2 linked regions of the Coturnix japonica genome follow. The protein of the gene in region 2 interacts with the protein of the main gene of each other region in a biochemical or structural test. Links are inferred from orthologs where the notes say so. Each region holds a gene or a part of one and is shown on either strand. Other genes may lie near its edges.

Region 1 (7,431 bases), on a different chromosome or scaffold from region 2:
TCCAAGTGTAGAGTGTAAGTAGAATCATTTAATCTTTAAGGCCACACAAGGGTACACCACCTTAGCGGCCTCTGCTGAACTCACTCCATTTATCCATGCCTTTCCTGCCAGCCAAAAAATCAGGGCACTGTTCCTTGATGATATCTTCAGAGATACTGACTTTTTCATCTACTTTCGCACCTTTATATTAAAGCAGCAACATCGCTTTTTAGTACCAGGGTTTTCAGCAGTGGTTTCAGTAAGCTTTATGAAAGGATAAAACCAATGGGCTGCACCAGGTGCTACCCTACCGTTCATGAAGCTTTTACTTGCACTAGCATGTGCTTATTTTCAACTGTTGATGATTACTATTACTTATGTTTTAACTTACTTTAATCTTCCATCAAAGTACGCGGGAGTTCCAAGGACAATGGTTTTAATGAAGAAAGGCTGGTTTGTGTGGTTCTCCTCATAGCCACCGACAATGCTGAAACCCCAGCTTCCCAAATTGCTCCGTCGCAGCACTACATCGTGACAGCTATGCAGGCAGCTGTGGAATGGAAGCACAGGACAGCAAGAGAAAAGCTGTGTGTACCACGTGTAGGTGTTTCTGTACCAGGAACAACACCTGCTCTCTCACATCAGCGCTGCTATGCTGCCCACGGACAGGGTAATTTTGCAATATCCAAACTGATTGCAAAAAAAAATCCACATTTTTCAGACATAAATATGTTTAAAAAGGAATAATGCAAAGCTAGAATAATTACTTAACTCTGTAAACTGACAGTACTAAAATGGCATTATAAGGATTTCACAGGTGGTGAGAATGTGGGTGGAAAACGTATATCCAACCTATTTACTTTGCAAGTCAAAAATGAAGTGCATGTTTCTTCCACCTCCAGTCGGTTTAGACATCTTCCTACTTTAAGTACAGATTTGGTAGTTCATGTGTGACCTTCTCTACCTCTGAACTGATTCACCATCAGTAATGAAAACACCAATGATTAACCATTTTGATATGTGGCAGGTAAACAATCCAGATCATGCTCCACTAACTGTACTGGTGTATGTAATAACTTCCTTCATGAAAATTAATTCTTGCCAGTGAAATAGTGACCGTAATTAAAACAAGCAAAGAAACAAACAAAAAACCCTAGAAATTAACTTCCAGGCAATAATGATGCAAAGTTCTTCACTGATATACAATACTCTTTAAAGAGAAGCAGCAGAATGAGTAACATGGGAGCAACACATCATCTTCCATAGTATTTAAGGAGTAAATCACTACTAAGGCATGGAAAGTAAGTACATTTCCAAAGCTGAAAGCAGTTTATTGACACACTGGATAACTCATAGTTCTGTTATATTCAGACATATTTGTTATCTGCAGACATATTTTGCCACCAGTATGCTTGTTTATTTTTGTTATTTTATACTTCAACTACAGGCCCGAGCTTGGTTAAGTCCATCAGTAGGAGAGGAAGTAGCCTGAACACTGCCTGAAGTTACCCGCACTAGTCACTGTAGTGCGAGCTCTCCTTGTGAGCAATGCCAGAATGAAGCCACAAGAAACTGAAAAACAGAACAGTAAAAATGAAGCACGATGATGTCAAGCAGACTGCAGATTAGGAATGGGGAGGGAGCTGCAAACCTGGAAGAGATTTCGTGTTTGGCAGAGACGGTAAGTGGGTTTTTGAAAAGAAATAAATGAGGATTTGTAACTCCAGGCTCGTGTGGAAGAGATTTATGTTAAAAGTATGAGAATGGAAAGTCTGATCCAATATTCCAAAGTTGTATGTTTTTCCTTGTAAATTTATGTAGTAAACCATCACAAAGACATATGGATAAATACTTTGTGTTGTTATTAATTATCTCTCTGATTTTAGATACTCTACTGGAAACTATGATACAGTTAAGCAATGGAAAAGATGAGTTTTATTAAATGAGAAGAATTCATGTGAGTAGCTACTATTGTTTTTGAAGGGATAAACTGAGTCTCTTCACCTCCCAGTTTCCTAAGAGAACACTGCTCCTGTTCATGGTCCTCATCATGAGCACAATGCAAATAGAGTACAATTGAACTGGTTAGGCAGGCAGAAATAAAGGCAGACGTGTTGCAGCTAGTAATGTCTCCGCTTTTGTATTTCTCTCCGACTTAAGTTTAAAACAGATAACTAATTACTGTATTAATTAATTCAGTACCTTGGGAGTCCCAGCCACATGACCCATGATGGTGACCAACTGGCATCGTATTCATTTTCACTGATGGTACTCAACTGTTCTTCATTGGCCTGGGGTTGTTCTTCTACGATCTGGACTTCCAATGCTTTCAGGGCAACTACCGAGGAGGCAGCACTGGCTTTCAGCATGGCCACCGCCTCACTGTGACTGAGGTTAGTCAGATCGATGCCATTGATGTTCAGCAACACATCACCTGTTTAGAGGCACAAATAAGAACACAACAGCCTGTCATGATCTATAGTACCTCTCTGATCAGGATTTCACCTCATACTGTAATCTTCTGGAGCCAAGACAATCTGAACAAACAACTTGGGAATGTGAATAGCAACATTAGCTCAATTAGCTACAATTCAGGCACCACAACTATATCTTATAGACAAGTGAAGCTCCACAGAGCTTTTTAGGTTTTGGTTTTTCTGAGTTTGCAGTTTAGGAGAACAAAAAATGAATACAAAAACAACTGGAAAGGCTGGTGCAAAATCCAATCCGTCAGAAGGAAAAATGAGCATCTGTGCAAAGGTAATAATCTGGAAAGAGTCCAAGACAGTAAAAAAATAGCCACAGTTTTTATTTTATTTCAGAGTAATATCAGAATGCCTCAGGGTGAAAACAAAAATGTAATTTACTGTTCAAGCTGTAAGAGTCTCCTCCTCCACACAGTGTCTCACTTTCTGATGAAAGCCAGGAAAAACAAAGCAAACATGTGAACACCTGAGCCACATTTGGAATGAGACTCATTTCTTAAAAGCTTTTGCCTCCCAAGGAAAGCTAAAGATGAGGTGAAGCACAACTTAAAACCATTTTTGTGGCTCCTTTATTATTACGGGACAAAACTATCATTGTGATTCTTCCACCAGTTGTATTTTTCACATGAGCATACTGTGGTATGTGGGTGTAAATCTCCCCATCTCAGAAGCACAGAAGGAGGTTCCCATGCAGTCATTTTTCAGTTTCAATTTCTGAAGTTCTGCCCCCCCTCCTTCTAAATTTAGTTCCTAAAACAATTTGAAATCCTGTGAATTCTGAATTGCCAAGGTCCCATACACGGTGTTTGTTTCACATATGGCACAATACATTCTAATCACCAATGCTTAGCTGCTAATCAGTAAGGACTGTGCTCTCCTATCCTGTGTCTAACCTTTGTATCCACATTCCCTGTATCCTTATGCAAAGCTGAGGAACAGGGGTGGTTGTTGCAGCACACCTGAAAAACAGCAAAACCAGGCTGTGCTGGACAAAGGACAAGGTAACGTTTAGGTTCTATGGTCACTACAGATGAAGCCTTGAGGGTAATCTCCACGTAGGTTACTTGTCATCAGGAACACGTGAGCTGTTCAGATATTACAGGGAGGATTCCTCCAGCAGAAAAGGAGCCCACCCCACCAAATGAAACACAAAAACAGGATGCGTGCACTAAAGTACAAACCATCACATGAGACACTCAGCTCAGGGGATTACAGTCAGCTGTAAAGAATGTAACCAGACATTTCCTGATCTCATCCACTTCCCCGCTATCATTCTCTAAACATCCCTTTCCTAGAAAAGGTGGAAGTGTGATACTAAATACTGTATTTCCACTACTGAAACACAAACATCCATCATTGCTTTGTTACATTCGTTAAAAGGTTTTATGACACCCCGTGATTTCAGTGAATGTACTCATCAAAAAACAATTGGAGGTCATCCATGGCACCAGGAAAGCCAAGCCCTACCTCGTTTAATCCTGCCATCTCTTGCCAAACACCCATGGGGCTGTACGCTTGTCACGAAAATGGGCAACTCGCCACTTTTGCTGCCTCTGCCTCCTGCCACTGTCATTCCAAGAGATTCATGTGGCTCTTTTTTCACAGTAATGTGCTTTTCTTGGCATGTAACACACTGGGAGAGGTCCTGTTTGACAAGAATAAACAATGTAGTTAAAGCTCTGAAAAACAAAACCCAACACACACCAAAAAACCCAAACAGAACAGAACGCAACTAAGGGCACCTCAAAGCTGTGCTTTGGTGCTTTAACAGAATGGTTTAAAGGAAAAAGTCTGTACCGCAAATTGGCTTTAGTTGGATTTCCTCCAGGTCAGAAAAAAATAAAAAGCTACTGATGTAGATGCTGAAGTGTAGACAGAAAGTTGACGAAGGCCATCCTTGAAAATCTCACTCAAGTTTCTTTTAGCTCTTACACAGGAATAGGCTATATTTTAAGACTGTGCTATGAAATCATATGGCCAAAAGTCAAGAAACCAAACAGAAGCAAATCTTTTGATGTCTTAGTGAACATCAGCATTACCTCACTCACAAGTAAGAACATGGCCTGCAACTACAAAGAAGCCCCATAAGAAATGAAAACACATGTATTCACAGTCACACAGAGAGGCCATTTAAAACCTCCTATGTCATGTTTGTTTTTACATCTGGTATGCAGCCTCTCTCGGAGCACAGAGTAGCTAAAGTCAATAATGCTTATATGTGGCTGCTAATAGAAGCTTTGTGCAGGCTCCCTAATAACCATAATGATACCCCAAACCTGAATCAAAACAAGAATATTTCATTTCCTAACACATGAATTCTAAAGTTTAGCGCATATTTAGTTTTCCCTATCTAAGGATTTAGACATGAATCAAAGTTTATTTCACTTGCTCAAAACTTTCCTTTTCGGTTTATTTAGCGATACACTGAAATCACTGCACACACACCTGCAATAACATCTTAAATCAACAAAATGCTCAGAAAGAATCCAAAATAATGGAAGAAATAACCTGGAAGATTCTTCCAAGTACAAACACTTCTTTATTCCCCTGCTTTCTATTAGAAAAAGGAAGCGCTGCTTTCCTTTACTTTCAACGCCACACGCCTCTTCTGATTCTGCTCCTTGCACGTTCATGTTAATCACATAATATACAACTCATAGCTTCTGAAGACAGCTCCTCCTTAAGTCTTCAGGCCTAACTGGCAGGTGCCACACAATTACATAAACTTTGTATTAAGACAAAAGACTTCTATGCCAACTACAGATTAATAAGAGAGAAATAAAGATAGTAACTCAACCTTTAAAAGAAAATACTACCAACACATGTAAATCCTCCCAGTAGAAGGGTGACATTAGACACTGATGCTAAAAGACTGGATGGGAGGAAAGGTGGATTGACTGGCATGGTCAACAGGGCAATTACTTCACAGAATCTGAATAGTAAGATGTCATATTGGTTTAACAAGAGGAAGTAGTTAGAACTCAAGCACAGTCTTACAGATAATCTGATACTAGCTTTGTGAAAATCTCTTCATTCTGCCTTTCTCTCCCATTCTGTAGTCTGGCAGTCAGCACTGCTGGCTCATGGAGGAGAGAACACATCCTTCAACAAGACCTTTATATGCTGTGTACTAAACACTGCATGTCCTGTCCTTGCTGGTTGCAGTCAGCACAGTGGTAGAAACACAAACACTCTTGAATGCCACCAACCTTATGTGAGTTGGGTCTGCAGTGAAACAGCTGCTGGGACTGGTGTTGGTGTGGGTTGCTGTTGTGAGTCCCCGTGTCTCGGATAATACTGACCGTCTGCGACTTCATGGGTCTAGAGATGATCAAATTCACTCTCTCCCCACTAGCCTGTCAAATATATAAAACAAAATAAAGAAGTCTGTAGGATAGACATAATGAAATAATAAGTCAGCAGAACTTGTTTTTCCAGCTCCCAGAGGTGCCGCAAACTTCTCAGTCTTCTTGCTGCAATTCCCCCTGGATTAGAGGGGATACCAGCATTCCTTTACTTCTGATGTTACATCCGCTTCACAGGAAAAAGAAAGGGTAGTTAGGTACTAGAAAGGGTAGTTAGGTACTGGAATAGGCTCCCCAGGGAGGTGGTTGAATCGCCATCCCTGGTTGTGTTTAAGAGCCGTATGGATGTGGTATTCAGGGATATGATTTAGTGTAGGGTTTTTAGAGTTTGGGTACTGGTTCGGCTGCGGTTGGACTTGATGATCTTCAAGATCTTTTCCAACCTGGGTAATTCTATGATTCTAAATGGGTGGAGCCTGGTTTCAGCTCATGATCAACCTGGGATCTGCAGATTTTAGTCAGAAGTTCTGAACGTTCTGTTTCTCAAAGACTTCAGAGAAAGATGTTACATATGAGCAGATCATTAAATCCTAGAGATCTGGGAATATCAGGAGACTCAGATATGAGATATTAAATGAAATATCAGCTCTTTCCATTATTGCAAAAACACAAGAGATACAAGTTACCTGTTGTAAAATCTGACCATTTCATTGTATCCAGAAACTGAGAAACAAGCGTTAAACCCCCCAAATCATTGTTATTTTCCTCTTAACTACAACGGAAGCTCTTAAAATGATTCCTGAAACATATATTTTCTGTTCATTTGAACTGTGGTTCTCATTTGGTATTGGAACTTTAAGTTAAGCAAATGCAATTAACTGTGCTAGACCGCAAGAACCTGCTACTGGTCTATCCCAACTTCATCAAAACTGGAGCATTTTTGCCAACATCCCATCAGAAGGAAGCAGCACATGCTGCAGCTGTTTCCTTACAGATTTGGAGGAAGGTGTGCAGTGAAGTTTTTCCCTACAGGAACAGGTAGGGCTCATGTGTCTGACTGCATCATGCTTTGGGTAATCTCTGTGTACAGAGCAGAGACAGTCATTCGGAATAGCGCTTCCCTAATGCTCAGGAAATGAATTTTACTACACTAGGTTAATAGAAGATTGACTTTTTGTTCCTAGCGGCTGTCTGTTGCTTCCATGAAGTCTGGCAATTTGCTGTCCCATTTGGGTCTACCAACGCCATGTGCAGGTAAACCAATGTCCACTTGCAAAGAGCTCACTCAGACAAGAAATTAAACCTACAGTACAAGCAGAAGTATAGTAGCATATTTATTTATTTATTTATTTTCCTGTTATGTAATGGGCCACATAAGCAGCCATCTAATGATCAGGCTGCGTGCTAGGGAAGACTAAGTCACTTTTCACTTCTACCAAGACAAACTTTGTCTGCAGGATGCCAAAGTAGACCCTGGTTTGCTGTATTATTTCCAGAACACAAATCACAGTGAACTGCACAGCCACAAGCTTCTAGAATCATGGAATCACTCAGGTTGGAAAAGAACTTAAAGATCATCAAGTCCAACCACAACCCAAGCATAGTACCCTAACTAACAACCCTCTGCTAAATCATGTCCCTGAGCACCACATCCAAACAGG
Region 2 (7,993 bases):
ATGAGCCTTTGCCTTCTTTATCACTGATACTATTGAATAAATCAACATTTGTATTTCCCTATATATTTCTATTATGAAAATTCTGAAGAATCCCAGCTTACTGAAGTACAAAATGTGCAACTGCATAAAGTAATTGAATGAACTGAGTCACTGGCTCTGACTGTTATAAACAGATCATTTCTGTGTCATATGCAAAGGAATTTTAAGCATTAAAACCTTACAGCTATCAAGATGCGCACCTTCACTCGAGTCTGATTGAACACTGGCTATGCATCTACAAGAAATAACCTGCATTAGCTCTTCTGCCTGACAGGAAATCAAGCTGAACCTGAACCAAAGCCCAGTGAAGTCAGCATGAATTTTTTCCTTCAGTTTTAATTGGCAATGGATCAAGTCTTTTGCACAAAATCTCCTATTTCTTCAACTTTAAAACAATCCTTATGACTGTCAAACATTTTCCAGTTCAATATAAATTCAAAAGGTGAATTTGCAGAACAACCCACAAATCCACAAAATGAAGATCAGGCTTGGATTTGTGTGTCAAATAGTAATCTTTAGAAGCTTGTTATATTGCAGATGGAGATTTTAGCTGCCATGTTGCCTTTCTAAAAATAACCGGCAGTTTTCCAGTGAACATGCAGTCAACTAGCAATATCAGTGAGCATTTATACTGCACAGAATCATTTGATAAGTCCATTTTATGATCTTCTATAATCAAACTGTAAAAAATTTATTTTTTTACATAAGGAAAAAGATTTTTAAAATCTTTAAAAACATGACACATTTCAAAGTATTTTTTTTTCACTTTGGAAGAAAAAAGCCTATAAGCGAAAATGATAATGAATACACTATCTAACAGCTAATGACTTCTGTGGTTTGGTTTTTATTGTGTGCGAGGGTTTTTTGTTGCTGTTGTTGTTTTCAACACTGGCAAGCAAAAAGAATTAAATGTTGAAATATTTACTGTAATCCATAAAGAAAAGATCTATATGCACTATCTCCAGGACAAAGTATAATAAAATCCATAGTCAGGCTTGAAATAAAATACAATCAAAAGGCCATTTGTAGCTCTAAACCCTCATCTCCTTCATGCATTATAAAGTATCCCCAATTTTTCCATCACCATTTGGGCACTTTTCTTTAAAGTGCAGATAACACTTAGTTAAGAATGAAATCTTATGGTTTTTGAATCCTGATCCAAGTCCTACTGTTGCCAGTGAGATACCCTCTGTCAAAGTCGTTGGGAATTAGGTATGGTCCGTAAGCAAATCTTTGTACCCTATATTAAAATCATTGCTATTAATAGAGATTTCTTTCTGACTGCCCCAGTGGCTTACCAGTAAGTCGAGGGGACAGGAACAGTGTCTTTCTTGAATCAGCTGTAAAGCAGAAAAGCTGAGGTTACTATTCCCTGATGAAAAGCTGCAATTGTTTCATTTTCAAGGTAAACACACCCTGCTATTTCCAGAGTGACCTTGGCAGCCAACTGTGTTGCCCTTAGTGTCAGCAGAGTGAAGGCTGTTGGTGTCAGTGGGCTTTGGATCAGGCTTTAAAGACAGAAAATTATTGCTTAAGAGGAAAACGGACATAATGAATAGTCTTGATTTCCCAGGTTTTGTCACTTAGAGTTCAGAATATAAACAAGACACTTTAAACCCTGAAGAGTATTTATAAGTCAATTATTTTGACTTTGTATATTTCCACAACTGTATACAATAATAAAGAAGAACAAACCTCTCTGGCTTACAAAAAAAAAGGCAAATACTTTATTTATGAATAGAGATTTTAGCTGCTTTTTACACCACTGCAATGACTAAACAAATAGCATAAAAGAAATAAAGGAGAGTATAAAATCACTTTATTACAACTGGTATTCCAAAACAACCTTCTGATTAAGTACAGAGTTGGATGTTTCAAGTATGGCACTTATACAAATAAGAGCAGAGAGAAGGTGATATAATCACAGTTAAAAGCAATGAACTCTGTTCCTTTGGTATGTATGTCACCGTAGGTAACTGTAGGTAAGTATGTAACTTGGCCAGCATGAACCAACTCCATCTTATTCATGCACATATCAGGGAATGAACTGAAATGTGCTGTTATATTTTTTAGATCACAACTAAAATAAGATGATTAAGGACTCTGGTGTGTGAGGACAGGCAAACAATAAATGGCAAAATTATATCCAGCATTTATTGTTTAGCATAACTAGATGATGCACAAACTATGTTAGAAAATAGCTAGTAATACACACCAGGAAGAACTCTGTGATGCAGACTAGCAAAATAACATCAGACATCTGAGATAGGTGAAAGCAGATGTCCTGATAGATCTGTGGTCACAGTGCAATTACCCTCCTTTTAAAACATGCTTACATCTGCACATTGTAACAGTTTACCCCACCCCATCCCACCCCACATAGAGTATCCTTGCAGATTTTTAATATGAACATTCTACATGTTTACAAAGATCAGTCAGACAGTCCGAACTGTAAACTCATCCTAATGATGACCAAAAAGCCACTCCACCAACAGATAGCATTCAATCTTTAGAAAGAAAATTAGTAATAATAGTAGCTGTAAGGCTAGATCAAGCATGGTTTTATAGCTGTTTTGTGGTTTGTTTGTTTGTTTGTTTTTCAGTCTTTTACATAGCACTGCATTTCTGCAGCTAGTTCAGTAAGTGCAGATCCAATACCTTAATGGCTTTCTTGGTGGTTTGATAAAATGCTTGCCTAAGCAATGTACCTTTCTCTAATAGTGTCTGGGTCTGTTCCACCTGGCACCAAGTTTCAGTTCTGTCACAGCCTCACACATAAGCTGAGTCACTTGACTGAGTCCTGCCAAAGTTAGGCATGCTCATTCTTGGCAGGTCCTTATTTCTGATTTCATATATGGATTTCCTTTTTGCCTGTACTCCTCTCACTGCCATTTTGATCTTTCTCCAGCCCAGGTGGTTCAGTTCTGCCAAATTGAGCACCACACAAATGCCACTGACAGCAAACATGAACACTAAGAACACAGTCTTCTCAGTGGGTCTAGAGACATAGCACTCTACTTCTTTAATGCAAGGGTATCTGTCACATTCGTACATGGAAGGGACATTGAATCCATACAGAAAGTACTGTCCCACTAAGAATCCAATCTCTAGGGCATTTCGAAAGACCACTTGGATGATATAAAATCGAGAAATGCCTTCTTGCCTCCTCATCTTTGATTTTGTAGTTCTGATTGCAGGATTGGGGATCTCCTTCACTTCTAAGCAGTCTGGTTCTGCCTCTTTGGTGGAGTTCTCAGTGTTCTGCAGCACCCCATTGACAATAGTGTTCTTGATTTTCTTACTGTCCTCACGCTTCATTGAATCCTGGTCTCTCTCCAAGGTGAGGAAGACAGTGGAGTACCTCCGTTCCCTCTGCTTAGCAGACTGATGAACAGAGTATGTTATGAAGCACAGGCTGGGAGTGCACACCATGATGATCTGGAACACCCAGTACCTTATGTGAGAAATAGGGAAAGCCTGGTCGTAGCAAGCCTGGTTGCAGCCTGGCTGCAGCGTATTACAGACAAACATAGTTTGCTCGTCATCGTACACCGTCTCCCCTACAATGGCCACAATGAGGATCCTGAAGATCACCACCACGGTCAGCAGGATCCTGGAACAGAGAAGCCCGTCAGTGCGCGCGACCGGGAGCTGTCCAGTGCTGATCGTCCCGGAGCTCCGCAGCCGGTGCGGTATCGCCTCGGCGCGGCGGGGAGCGGCCGTGCCTCGCCGCCAGCCCCAGCTCCTGTTGGGAGCTGCCCCGGCCCCTCTGGGAGAAACAACAGCGACCGCGAGGGCCTCAGCTGCAGAATGCGCAGAGAGGCGCGGAAGGGCTCCGGCTACGGGACCGCTGTAGCGGCGGAATTCCCTCAGTGTCTGCCCGCAGCCCCCCTACTCCTCGAGGTCGGGCCGAGCGCCGTGTCTCCGCGTCCTGTGCCGTGGCTCCGTGCCCGCTCCGCCCGCACACAGGCAGTCTCCAGGCGCGCACGGCAGGAGCCCCGCGCAGTCTGCTCGCACCGCCAGGACTCGGCAGCTGGGCAACCCCGCGCTCCCCCCCTCAGCACCCCGTCGCCCTTACCTCCCTATCATAGTAGAGTGCTGCTGCACGGCAGCTTCCAGTAGCCTCTCTAGAATAGTCCATTCCCCCATCGCTGTTCATCCGGAGACAAAGACTTTGGCAAGCGGAGGGGATCTCTTCACTTCTTCCTACCCCTTTCTTCTTCCCCCCACTTTTTTTTTTTTTTTCTTTTTGTTATTGTGTTGCAAGGGGTGGAGAAAGAAAAAAAAATACAACAACAGCAACAACAAAAATTATAAAAAAAACAAACGGGAGAAACCCCCTTCTACCGCCTGCAGTCCGGTAGTAGAAAGGCAGCTGGACGCGGCAGCCCTTCCGAGGACTCTCGGCTCGGCCCGACTCTATTCGGGGCCCCGCGGCGGCCGAGCCCGGCCCGGACCACTCAGCTCGTGCCGCGGCGGACCCGCGCCGAGGAGGGAGGAAGGTTGGCTTTTAATGTCTTGCTGCCTCTAATCTGCCTTTAAGTAGTCTCCGCTTGCGTCACTGACAGGTTGGTGGAGAGCAGCCAAAAGCAGAGCTCGGATTTTCTCATTTTTTATTATTCCCGTGAATATAAATAAATAAATGAGATAAAACAAATGAAGTAAATAAATGAGGAGGAGGGAGGCGGAGAAAGAGCTGGCCCAGCCGCCACGAGGCTCCCCTCGCCAGCGAGCAGCTAGTCGCCCGACCAGAGCCCTTCCCGGTCGCGGCCAGGTCATTCCGGCCACCTCCCCACCTTTGGGGTAGGACCCCAAGGGAGAGTACCCCGGGGAACCGGCACTGGCCCGCGGCTGCTACTCCGGGGTGCTGTGCCCCTGTGCCTGACTGCAGAGTCGGGAGCTGTGGGGCTCTGAGAGTTCCCGGGCTTGAGAGAACAGCAGTGTCATGCAGCAGCAATCTCAACTAATACAACTGCTTACCTTTGGGGGATACTGGTCTTAAAGCTGTGCCTTAATTTTCCTCTGATCACAAATATAATACAAGAATCACTAAGAAGTGAACATATATAGCCATTTCAGAGAATTCTGAGATTGGATTTAAGCAAGAAAAGACACCAAACCTTCATTCAAAACATCTCCAAACAGCATGAGAATAAAGACATCCCTTCATTATAAAACATTTACATATTCCCCAAAATCATTACAATATGTTTTAAATATTTTTTTATTTTATGGCAACCCTTAGAGACTGTATTTGAGACACTATCAAACAATTTCAGACAAACATTGACACCTGCTGGGATTGACTCTTCCCTGGTGGTGAATCCTAAAGTGTGTTCTCTACATTTCCATAAAGTATAGCTTTTTACCTGCTCAACTGATCTTATTAAAATGAACATAAGAAAAATTCAAATCAATCTGATCAGCATTCCTGCTGCCAAACTCAGTAAAATCAGTCTTCTTCCAAAGCAGAATGGTTTAGGCCACTCTAAACAGTATGGTCCTCTTTAATTTGCAGCTCTCTCATGAAAAAAAATGTGTTGTGCTAATGATGAGAAGCGTTCTCTAAATATATGGAGCCAAGCTTCATCAATGTACAGGACACTGGTGTGTTTCAGACACCTTAAAATTTGCCTTTTCCTTTGATGTGTGCATATGGTCCCTGATTCATGTTACTGGGTCCATTTCCTGACTGGATCCTTAAGCCTTCGAAATGGGGAAATGTCAAATATGAGAAGATCAATGAATGCCTCTATTTGCAGAGAAAATTTCAGATTTTTTTGTCTTATCCAATCAAGTGGATGTTAAGAAGTAATCTGGATTGTTTCTTTCCAACACCATTGCTTTTCCTTAAATCCTGACAACATCCTTCTTTAAACCTGAAACTCACACCTCCTGCAGTATGTGCATGTGTTTGTAAAACCTGCTGCTGCAGCAACATAAAGAAAGAAAAAAAAAAAAAAAGTTGTTCCTTTTGTTTTAAAAGGACTGCAGTATCTATCAGCCATAAAGTTTTTCATTAGGGCCACAAAGTATCTCTGTGGAGAGGCATCTGAAAACAACAGAGATCAAAACAAGAAAGGAAGCAGTAATGCATGTGCAGAAGGAGAGAGGGCAGGGAGTATGCTAATAAGCTAATGATGATAATCCTATTTGGAGAACCAGAGAGAGAAAGACCTTGACAGAAATTACTGAAGAGCACAGAGGAGATTTTGGTCCACAGTCAAGTATATGCATTTCTACAAAGGGAAGCTGTTAAGTAGCCTCAGGATAGAAAACATACATATCTGAGTTTTTATGACCAGTAAACAAACAGGAATCAAATTCTGATCAAACCGTACACTGAGCTTTTGGTAATCAGTTAACCAGTATTTGCTCTTTGTTATGAGATCTACTTATTGGTGGTAGCCCACTTGTAGAAACATAAAGGGGAAGTAACGTAAATGAATGTTACAGATATGTAAACGCTGATATGAAATATACTTTGCTTATGTGTGTTTTAAAGTTAAATATTTCAGGTCAGGGAGTTGTAACTCATTCTAAAACAGCTGACCTTTCCTTTTCTAACAGTAGCTTCATATGCCACATCATCACCTTATTCACAAACTGGATGCTTGTCTTTACACTTGACTGTTTGTGGACTTCAGATCTCTGTGAAAGTGGGCAAAAAGATAATAATTACAATCTGAGTGTTTCTTGATGCTAACACACATTTTAAGTGAATGGAAAGTAATTATTAACATTCCCTTTATTCACCACATGGGCAACAGCAACCCACGGACTTGCCTGACTGTAAGGTAGAATAATAGAAAAGATGGTAATAGATATTCAAAAGGTTATCCATAGGGAAAACTTACCAATATGGATGCTTTCAGTCTGGCTGAAAAATGCTGAGGCTGACTACCCACTCTCCACAAAGAAGCAACCTCAAAGAGATGCTGCCTTAATGGTGGTCAGCCCTTAAATGAAGTCTAGGGAAGGTGGAGTCAAGCTTCACCCCTTCCGGGAGCACAGCTGAATTACTCTCACCTGTGCACCCACAGCTGACCCGACACTTGCCTCAGCTGATTAAGTAGAGGTTCAGGCTGTGATTACCAGTTTTCCATACACCTGACAAATACCTAAATTACAAAGTATCTGAAGTTTGAATAGTAGACTTAAGAAGATCTTCAGCTTCTTGGGGTTATTAGATTTTTCGTTGTTTCCCTGAATACTCCAGTCCATGATAAAGCTATGATTTGCAGATGAGTAGACTAGTAAGAATGCTACTGAAGCATCTGCATCATGTGTGATATTCACATTATAAAATCACGCACGTATTACATTCACAAGCACTCAGGATTATCAGCACTTTAAATTATACAAAGCTCAAGGCTTACAAATAATCATTTCTTACTGAAAAAAACAGGGCCAGTCCTGTCCAGTTCCACATATTTGTTAGCTGTATAAAAAGTAAATAAAGATGGCTTCACACTCCCAAGTGCAGGCTTTGGAGCTGAGGATGTATTTATATTTGGTTTGCTCTGCATTTGAAGAGAATGACTATTTGTCTGCAGATTAAATTCAGCATTCATAACACAACCCTCACAAACCTCACACCAGCAAAAAGAACTCCCCATACCAAAGTCAAAACAATAACCGAGCTCAAACAACCTTTCCAAAATGAAATCAGAACTCCAGCCTCCACATGTATTCAAAGATGGCTCTGCCTCAATATTAATTCATGTTAACATAATACAGATGGAGCTGATCTTGGATTAGATTTGGAGAATGAGACTGTGTGTGTCCTCAGTTCAGATGCCAAACTGAGGTTAATCTGTCTCTAAGAAGAGATAGGACAGATTCTCTCTAAGAAATCCAGCCCTTTTGCCCTGATTTGGTTTTGCAAAAGGCTGGGAGGCCAACAAATCTCTCAGGCTATGCATTCCTCAAATACAGGGCTGACCACACAGGG

The links.
Region 1: the proteins of GJD2 (region 2) and LNX2 form a complex in vitro, tested with the Homo sapiens proteins (2 studies listed by BioGRID and IntAct, with this or other methods). The link is inferred for Coturnix japonica from reciprocal best matches to the Homo sapiens genes GJD2 and LNX2.

Annotation. Positions count from the first base shown.
Region 1 is NC_029516.1:157,602,553-157,609,983, reverse strand, and holds part of LNX2 (ligand of Numb protein X 2), read right to left. Parts: intron 5,822-7,431; coding exon 5,675-5,821; intron 4,111-5,674; coding exon 3,933-4,110; intron 2,414-3,932; coding exon 2,182-2,413; intron 530-2,181; coding exon 371-529; intron 1-370.
Region 2 is NC_029520.1:29,115,699-29,123,691, reverse strand, and holds the start of GJD2 (gap junction delta-2 protein), read right to left. Parts: upstream 4,659-7,993; 5' UTR 4,189-4,658; coding exon 4,118-4,188; intron 3,653-4,117; coding exon 2,809-3,652; 3' UTR 1-2,808. UniProt on the Homo sapiens protein: One gap junction consists of a cluster of closely packed pairs of transmembrane channels, the connexons, through which materials of low MW diffuse from one cell to a neighboring cell.